Drosophila melanogaster: one gene and its partner. The protein of the gene in region 2 interacts with the protein of the main gene of each other region in a pairwise test. Each region holds a gene or a part of one and is shown on either strand. Other genes may lie near its edges. The genes, in order: CG30158 and CG4270.

Region 1 (4,881 bases), on a different chromosome or scaffold from region 2:
AAGCCGGAAAAAAGGGGCACTGGCGGTGGATGGTGGAAGCCAAAAAAGAGAAATCCGTCGGACCATAAAATCAGCACAAACCCAAACACACATCCCCATCGAGATGATAATCATGGCCAAAGAGTGGAAGACAACAAGCATGGTCCAGCACTTTAATCAAATGCGGCCGCAACATCAAGAGCCTGCTCACCCACAAATATGCCGGCCGTGTGTGTGCCCAAATTTCAATGAAGCCATTGGCGGCCAAGAGGCTCACAAGTGCCGCCCGGAAAGAGCAAAAACTATTAAAATAAGTGGAAATGGAGGCATTAGGGCGGAAACACGAACTCGCACATAGGGCCAGGACCTGTTCTTTTCCGTCCTGTTATGTTCTGTTGCGAGAGAAGAGGACCGTTGTCAGGCCAAGTGGAAGCTTTGAACCTTTTATGTGCTTTTAATTTTAATACAACAAGGCGGGAGGAACAAAAACAATTTTAAAGGCGTGCAGTTTTGCCATTTTGCCAGCATTTAGTTGCCACTTTGGGTGCCACATCCCCCTCTCATCACCCCCCCCCTACTCTTCAGCTTTCGTGTGCATTTTCAATTTGCGCTTTGCATACGGATTGCAATTCATGCCAGCTGCCGGAATTCTCAGGGATAAGCCATTGCGTACCACAGTGCGTATGAGTGATGCGAAGTACACACTCAGCCACAGCAAATGGCTCGTTCTTGAAGGTGTCAGCTGCAACATCCAGAGCACTGTACTATGCCGAAGGTATGAAGGGCGAAATGCCCAGTTTATCAATTAAATAAGTCACATATAATTAATAGCCTTTACAGACAAGCGGCCTCTCGGGCTGCCTTGCGACTTGACAAGCGACTGTGAGTGCGGTGGGATTAATGAACCTCACTCAGAAGGCATGACTTTAATACCAACTCGATTGGACCAAAAGATGAGCAGATGCGAAGGCCAGCAGCACAGGGAGCGTAGAAATGCAAACTATGGTAAATGCCATCGCACTTCAGGCATCCGGTCTAGACTCCATTATGATAAAGTGTGCGTCCGAGTCGGGCGCTCCCCGAGGAGCTGCGCAGCTGGCACAGCTTAAGATACAATAAAAAAGCTGGCATACCTACGGGGGCATCTGCATAGCTGCCGTGTGTGTGTGTGTGTGTGCGCGCGCGTGTGTGTTTTATTCCCATTCGCAGTTTGGCAGGAAAACCGTTTAATCTAGCATAAACATATGGAGCACAATCATTTACAAGCGACTGTGTACACACATTGGGGGATGAAGGCGACAGGTGAGAGTGAGGGGTGGGGCCACGTCACCTAGGAGCTGCTCCCCCTGAGAATGCCTTTAAAAAGTCAAACTCGCGACTAGGCTTTATGTGAAATTAATTATACAATCTCGGAGGGAGTTAAGCAAACAGTTGCGGTTTCCGATTACCGAGGACCCTCATGTTGTTGGAAAAAACGAAAAACACAAACCCATTTTTTGCCGACTGTCTGTTGACTTTTCATCTCAAGAAAGAAATACTTGGAAAAACAATCGAAAAATACAATTAAGCGAATGAATTTCATGAAAGTAAGCTGTAAGCGTAGGCAATATGAGCCCAAATTAAAGTGCTGCTTTTTGCGACGTGGGTTCTTAGAAGTACTGACATGGAAATGGAAGACGAAGCGTTTCTTTGGAAATGGTGATACCTCTGAAGGAAGTGATAAATCTAGTGCAATTGGTCTCGACTTAAAAAGTATCAAAACCAATGAAACCCAATAAAGCCGTGGCTGCACAGAAGAAGAGAATTAAATTAAATTCTTCTAAAAACCTAGAAAGTCTCATTTAAATCAAATTCAATTCATCATCAGTCTGGGAACCATGGTATTATATTTTAACAGGGAATAAATAATCAAATGATATGCCTGGTCTCATGGGAACTGTTTGTTTTTGCCCCAAATTTCGATATAACTAAACAGAAAATAAACTTAGAAAAGTGTCGGATTTTAAGCACTCCTTGGCTCAGAATGTTTAATTTATCGAAGCAAATTAAAAATGCTTCAACATTTTAGACAACTTGCATTTGTTGCTTAAAGCGACATTGGAGTCCTAGTCTATCAATAACGAAAGTATCGAAATCGTATGGAATATGGAGTCCCCATAGAGCAATTTTCGTACGGGATAAAAATACATGTTAAATCCGATTATAGATCCACAAAACCAGTGCACAAATGGATTGAGCATGGCCATCGAGTCCCCCATCCACCTTTTATTTATTTGTCAAATTTAGAATTTATGACGGACCCTCACGGTGGATTTTCTAGGGGCTCCTAGGGGATGATTGTCACCCATCCCGCTTCAGTGCTTTCTGCCATGTGTGAGCTGTGTAATCGTAATAAAAATGCACAACATGGCACGGCTCCCATCCGCCCAGCCTCCTCCGTCCGGGACACACAAAAGGCAGATCTGGTGGCAACTTAGAGCTTACTTAGACATGTTAACTGCTGCGAAGACTCTTTGTCTCTACATGTCGAATAGGAAAGCGAAGGGAACGGAGCGAAACTTGCGGCGGCTACAAATTTAATGCGCTTACGATAAATTTTTATTATGCCAGCGAATGCTGCCGTTAAAATTGGATATCAAAGACGCACCTAGGGCTGGATGAAGAGTGGGAATTCGGCAGGTCAGGATGCGAGAAATTTGAATTTTTCGCCATAACCGCAACTTGTCCCGTTGGCAGGCACTTTAAAGTCGTTTCTTTTGCACTTGCACTCAGAACGTGCTTTGTTTTTCTGCCCCTGTTTATGCCTTAATGTGGCCATAAAGTGGAGGAGTTACTTGGACGACCCGGATGGAAGCATTCCGGGTGACCGCACTCCACTCCGCGCCGGACTGCTCCACCAAGCCTTAATAGGTCATAGGGATTGCGACGCAGTGCTGCGAGGTGGGCTTACCTGGCGTATACTTAATCACCCCGAAATAGCGACGAAACTGTGGTAAACTGCAATTCGGCACGTGAGATTGATTAAATTTCTGATTTATGTTCTGGTTATTCACCCGCACACAAAGCCACAGACACTCTGAACACCACCGGACGACGGACTAGGACGACAGAAGCATCGGTTGCTCCTGACACCTCAACCAAAATTTGTAATCCACTGCCGAAAGTCTCTGGGTTTCCACTGAGGAGCGCGTGCGTTGCTGTCTAGCAGGGAACTGTTTGGCAGCCAGCATGGGACTTTGCTTTTATATTCATCCAACAGGCCACGAGTGTTTGCCGCCAAAGCATTCAAAACACAACGTGTTGCAGGTTGTGGTTGCGAACAAGCAAACGCTACAGCGAATCAGGACGCAGGCGTCGGCAGGACAAAGCTAAGTTCCTTGCTCAGCACTAGCTGAGGTCTGAACCCGTGCTTTAAGCTTCAGTCGGATTATGGGTCTGCCCCTCGAACCTGCTCGAAAGGATGAAAGGCTTACCCCTACGGCATTGTCAGCTGCGGTCAGTTGGTAATAATTCCTGTGACAGTTCAATTTTGGGCAGACGACCCTAAGTTTGTTATTGGGGGATTGGCATCTATGTCCCAACTAAAACATTTCGTTCACTAAACATTGGTTCAGATTTTCGATACAGAAACATAAGAAGTACCCATCAGAATCTATACAAATGTTTACATATCTCGCAAAACATAATACAAAATACCTGAAATGGTAATTAAATCTAATGAGATGCAAAGAGTATCTCATGTCACGTGGAGATTTTCATTTAGATGCCAGCGGCTGCCACTGCAAATATTGACGTACAAATGTTAATTACCCACAGAGCCCACAAGCTGCCAAAAGGCAAACAGGCAGCCAAGGCGGCACACGGGGCGTATACTCGATAATTGTCGGCCAAACCTTGTTTACTTACTCCTCATTCTACGCCGAAACAGCTCGTTAATATTCAATAGCATGTATTAAATTCAAAGTGCTAACAAAGTTTTGCACTTTCCATCGCCCTGAGCGGAGATCCACACACTCGCAGGCTCGAAAAAAAAGGGACATCCGTCTCGACATGTCCTTTGGCCACGCAGGACGAGACAGGCCGCTTGACCGGCTGGCAGGAGGCATGTTCCAAGTATTTCATTAACCTGACTCGCACAGATACGCACATTGGCAGCTGCTGTCAGTGTGACGCTCTTCAGAGCATCAAATCGTCCTTCCGCACAGTCCTTTCTGACCTGCTCTTTGTGGGCGAGCGTGCGATGCCAGGACGAGCGGTAAATTGTGCCCAGTCTCCATTGGAGCGAACTGGGATTCTATTATCATTTTGCGGTAGCCAGTCCCCCTTTCACGTGGTCCGTGGGAAAGTGAAAAGTTTTGAACACCTTGGGTGCGCAGGGTCACCTAGAGTCTCGACTAGCCTGCTCTGGGTTCCAACAATGGGGATAACTTTCAATGGGAGTGCAGCGTGCATAAACACAATGCTCAACTTAGCAGCTTTCGAAATTAAATGCCAATTGCAAAAATGCAACATTCGGGACACAGAATGCGACACAGGAAACCCCAGGTAACCAATGTAGCCAATGCAATCAAAAACGCTCCACCTCCCACAGCCAGTTACGGCAAGGGTCCTTCTGAATGGCAAACGTGCGCATGACATAATTCCTTAATTACCAAACTTGTCAGACGCACTTAAAAGTGAGTTACAATTACAATTTGCCTCCACAATTGTCTGTTCCACGTTGCAGAAGGAGTAATCGTTTCGACCCTGCCACCTGCGGAGTTGCCCCCCCCCCCTCCCCCCACACGGTGTAGTTGGCACACACATCCTCAAAGGGAAGCTTTAAACACACACAGTGCAGCACAACTTTCGAGAGTCACAATAGTTCGCAAAAGTTAGGGTCTCTGAAACATAATGGTTAGC
Region 2 (3,154 bases):
AGTGGGCAGATGTATGTAGATGTATTTAATATAAATAGATCCTTTCTTTTTCACCTAAACTTGATTTCCACAGCATTTGGCTGATCTGAACAAACTGGAAACTCGACCTAATCCTCTTTACGGCGAGAATATTATGCGTGTCCGGAGATCCAAATTCTCCGTGGATCAAATACTGAAACTCTGGTACCAAGAAAAATACAACTACGATTACTTAAAGCCAGGCTTTAATTTGTACACTGGACATTTTACCCAGTTGGTTTGGAGAGAGTCAGAGTTCCTGGGAGTGGGCGTGGCATGCGAGTGGGTTCATAATTTTAAGTCATACTAAAAATAATCCGAAACTAACTACATTTTACACGCAGTGTTTCCTCCATTTGGATTGTGTGCAATTACCATCCGCCTGGAAATGTAAGCGAACATTTCAGGGAAAATGTCCTGCCTAGAAAATTCCTTCTACTTAAATCGGACTTGGATGCCAAGGAAACTAGAAAATCGAAACATCACAATTTAAAATAGAAAATGGTAAATAAAACAAACAAATACTGGACCTAGATTACGCTTTTATTATGCTTAAAATTTTGATCAAAAAATCCCAGAGTTATTGCTTTGGCGGCACATTATCCTTGAACAAACCCACAACATTGCCGGGAGGATTGTAGTTGCAAACCACCCAAGTTCTATCCGCTCTATTGGAAGACATGTATGAATAGGATTACCATAGCCATAGCCATAAGACTCACTTTCGGGCCACACCCGAACCCATTTCCACCGACGACTTCCAAATGAGCTGAGTAAAGTGTCCAGCGGTGGGCACAAACTGCGCCTTGTTGAAATCGTAGCTATTGATTTCCCGATACCACATTTCCACCGGCAGATCACCGGTCACATCCATTCCACCGGAGAGGAAAATGTTTTCGCCGTACTTGGGATTGGGTCTGTGCGCCATTGTGTTCTGATCGCGGAGATGCTGGAAATGGGTGCAAATTAATATAAAATACTATAGAATACTCTTTATCCCTCATCCTACATTGGCCCATTCCTGAGCCAGCTTATTTAGTGCAGCATTAATGGTCACCGCGGGACAGCCGTGCATTGCCCGATATTTATTGGTGGTATTGAAGACCTCCTTCAGGAAGAGCTCGTTGTTGCCCTTGGTATCCTGACCCCTGGGACCTGGAGGGCGCTCGTGGGTTTTGGGAATGGGCGCTACGTTTCTCTTCGCCATATTTCTTTGGGGGATTGGCTGGCGCCGTGATTTAGTTAACCAAATTTACGTATGCCTAATGACTTTTTAAGCTAGCTGGCTAGATCAACATTTCTCGTTTTTAAGTTACAAAATTAAGTGGTTATTATACATGTATACAAGGCAGTCAATTAAAATTTTCACTGAGTTCTGAATAGCTCACCCATCAATCACAATGTTTTGTTTACAGCCGAAAAACCCTTTTTTCAAACCGCCTCATAATCTGGCCTAAACATCGGTATTAGCATTGTGATTGATACCGCAAACACAGGCTGTGGGTGACGGATTCACAGGACGTGTGCGTGCCCAAATCCATTGACGGGAATTAGACAGACTGTATCACACATCCTTCTTCTGCATCTGCCGATGGGATTAACCAACGTGACGTATGAGTGATGCATGTCACTGGGTTTGGTTATTAATGAGCCGGCGATTCTTTCGCAATCCAGCCATATGGCTGGATATGTAGGTGCAGGCAAATCGGGCAATTGGAGTGGCATTAATTGCCGACTGAATCGAGCTGGATAATGCGAGTTGGCCGACATGGAGGCCCCTTATCAATCGCCCGCAGCGCCGCCCATGGAAGTGCAAATTTCGATGTCGAAACACTCGGAATATTAAATTATTTAAGTGTGTGAGTGTGTGTCTGCGCTGCGGGTGGTGCTTCAAGTGTGAATCCCTAATGAGTTGTGCAAATGCAAATCAATGGACCGGCCGATGTCGCTGCTCCCGGCAGAGATTAAGCCGATGCTCCGATGTACAGATAGGCGGATACAGCCGCAGGACAGGCTGACTCGCTGAAATTATCCTGTGCGCCGCAAGGTGGATGCGGGGTCACAGCATTGCGTTTGATATACTCATGTGCCAGGCACTAAATTATGGCCCAGCTCATTGATTTATGTGAATTTGTGTACTAAGTACTTAAGTACTCGGCCATAAGCTTAAAGCTGGATAAAATAGTTTATTAAGCCGCGAATTTAAATAAGTATTAATGTTAATACAGATTAAAGCCAATTTGGTTAATTGGTAATATATAATTCAATCAATATCAAAGATTAGGATGAATTTCAATTCAATTAATCGGGAGCTCCCTTTTCCATTTCTTATTTTCATTTGCTCTATAGACAAAGATATTTTCGAAATGGATAAATGGCTCCATTTAAGCCGCTGGTAGAATTTCTGGTAATATTGTAATAAACTTTAAGCCTGCTCGCTGCATTTCAGGTTTCCATGGCCTCTGTCAGAAACGCGATGCACAGTCGCGTCATCCGCACAATGCACAATTCACAATTTCGGTGCCATCGGAGTTGGAAAATGTGTGGTTGGGTGGTTGGGTGGCTGGGGGATTGGGTGGTTCAGTGGCTGGGTGGCCAAATTGTTTGGGTTGTAAGCTGGCCACAGTCAAAGCGTAAAACGCAAAGCGCACACGTTACTTTTCTGTCGATTTAATTAATTTCGCAAATTTGGTTTCGTTTATTTATGCATTGCTGGTCGAGTGGAGGGTACAGTGCGCGCCATACGCAAAATAAATACACTCGCACTCTTATTTCGAGCATGCGGGCATTATATACATAGATGGTATCTGATATATCGTATCTGGTATCTGGGCAAACAGGCTCGCATTTCCATCAACCACACGGCATCCGGAGCCGGATGCACTCGGTTGCACATACGGATACTGCCTTTAATTCCGATTCCCATTGATTCGAATTGGTCATGTTTTGGCATAGGGTAAGTACCGCACAAAAAATGAATGCACAATTTAAAAAGTTCATTCTGAATTTGAAGCCAAACAATCTCAACTGCAGCCAATAAATGTATTCTTGTATTCCAGCAGATTTCATTGGTAGCATGCGTATTCCAATGTCGTTAAGCTTAAGTATTCCCAACGATTTCAAATGTTATAAGCTT

Evidence for each region.
Region 1: the proteins of CG4270 (region 2) and CG30158 interact in a two-hybrid assay, tested with the Drosophila melanogaster proteins (one large-scale study listed by BioGRID).

The regions. Positions count from the first base shown.
Region 1 is NT_033778.4:6,890,075-6,894,955, reverse strand, and holds the start of CG30158 (uncharacterized protein), read right to left. Parts: upstream 3,197-4,881; 5' UTR 3,033-3,196; intron 2,977-3,032; 5' UTR 2,930-2,976; intron 1-2,929.
Region 2 is NT_033779.5:2,261,629-2,264,782, reverse strand, and holds CG4270 (uncharacterized protein), read right to left. Parts: upstream 1,342-3,154; 5' UTR 1,226-1,341; coding exon 1,028-1,225; intron 968-1,027; coding exon 741-967; coding exon of another isoform or gene 737-740; exon of another isoform or gene 698-736; intron 687-697; coding exon 599-686; 3' UTR 542-598; downstream 1-541. Other genes in the region: CG34049 (uncharacterized protein), read left to right, coding at 1-11, 74-300, 363-516.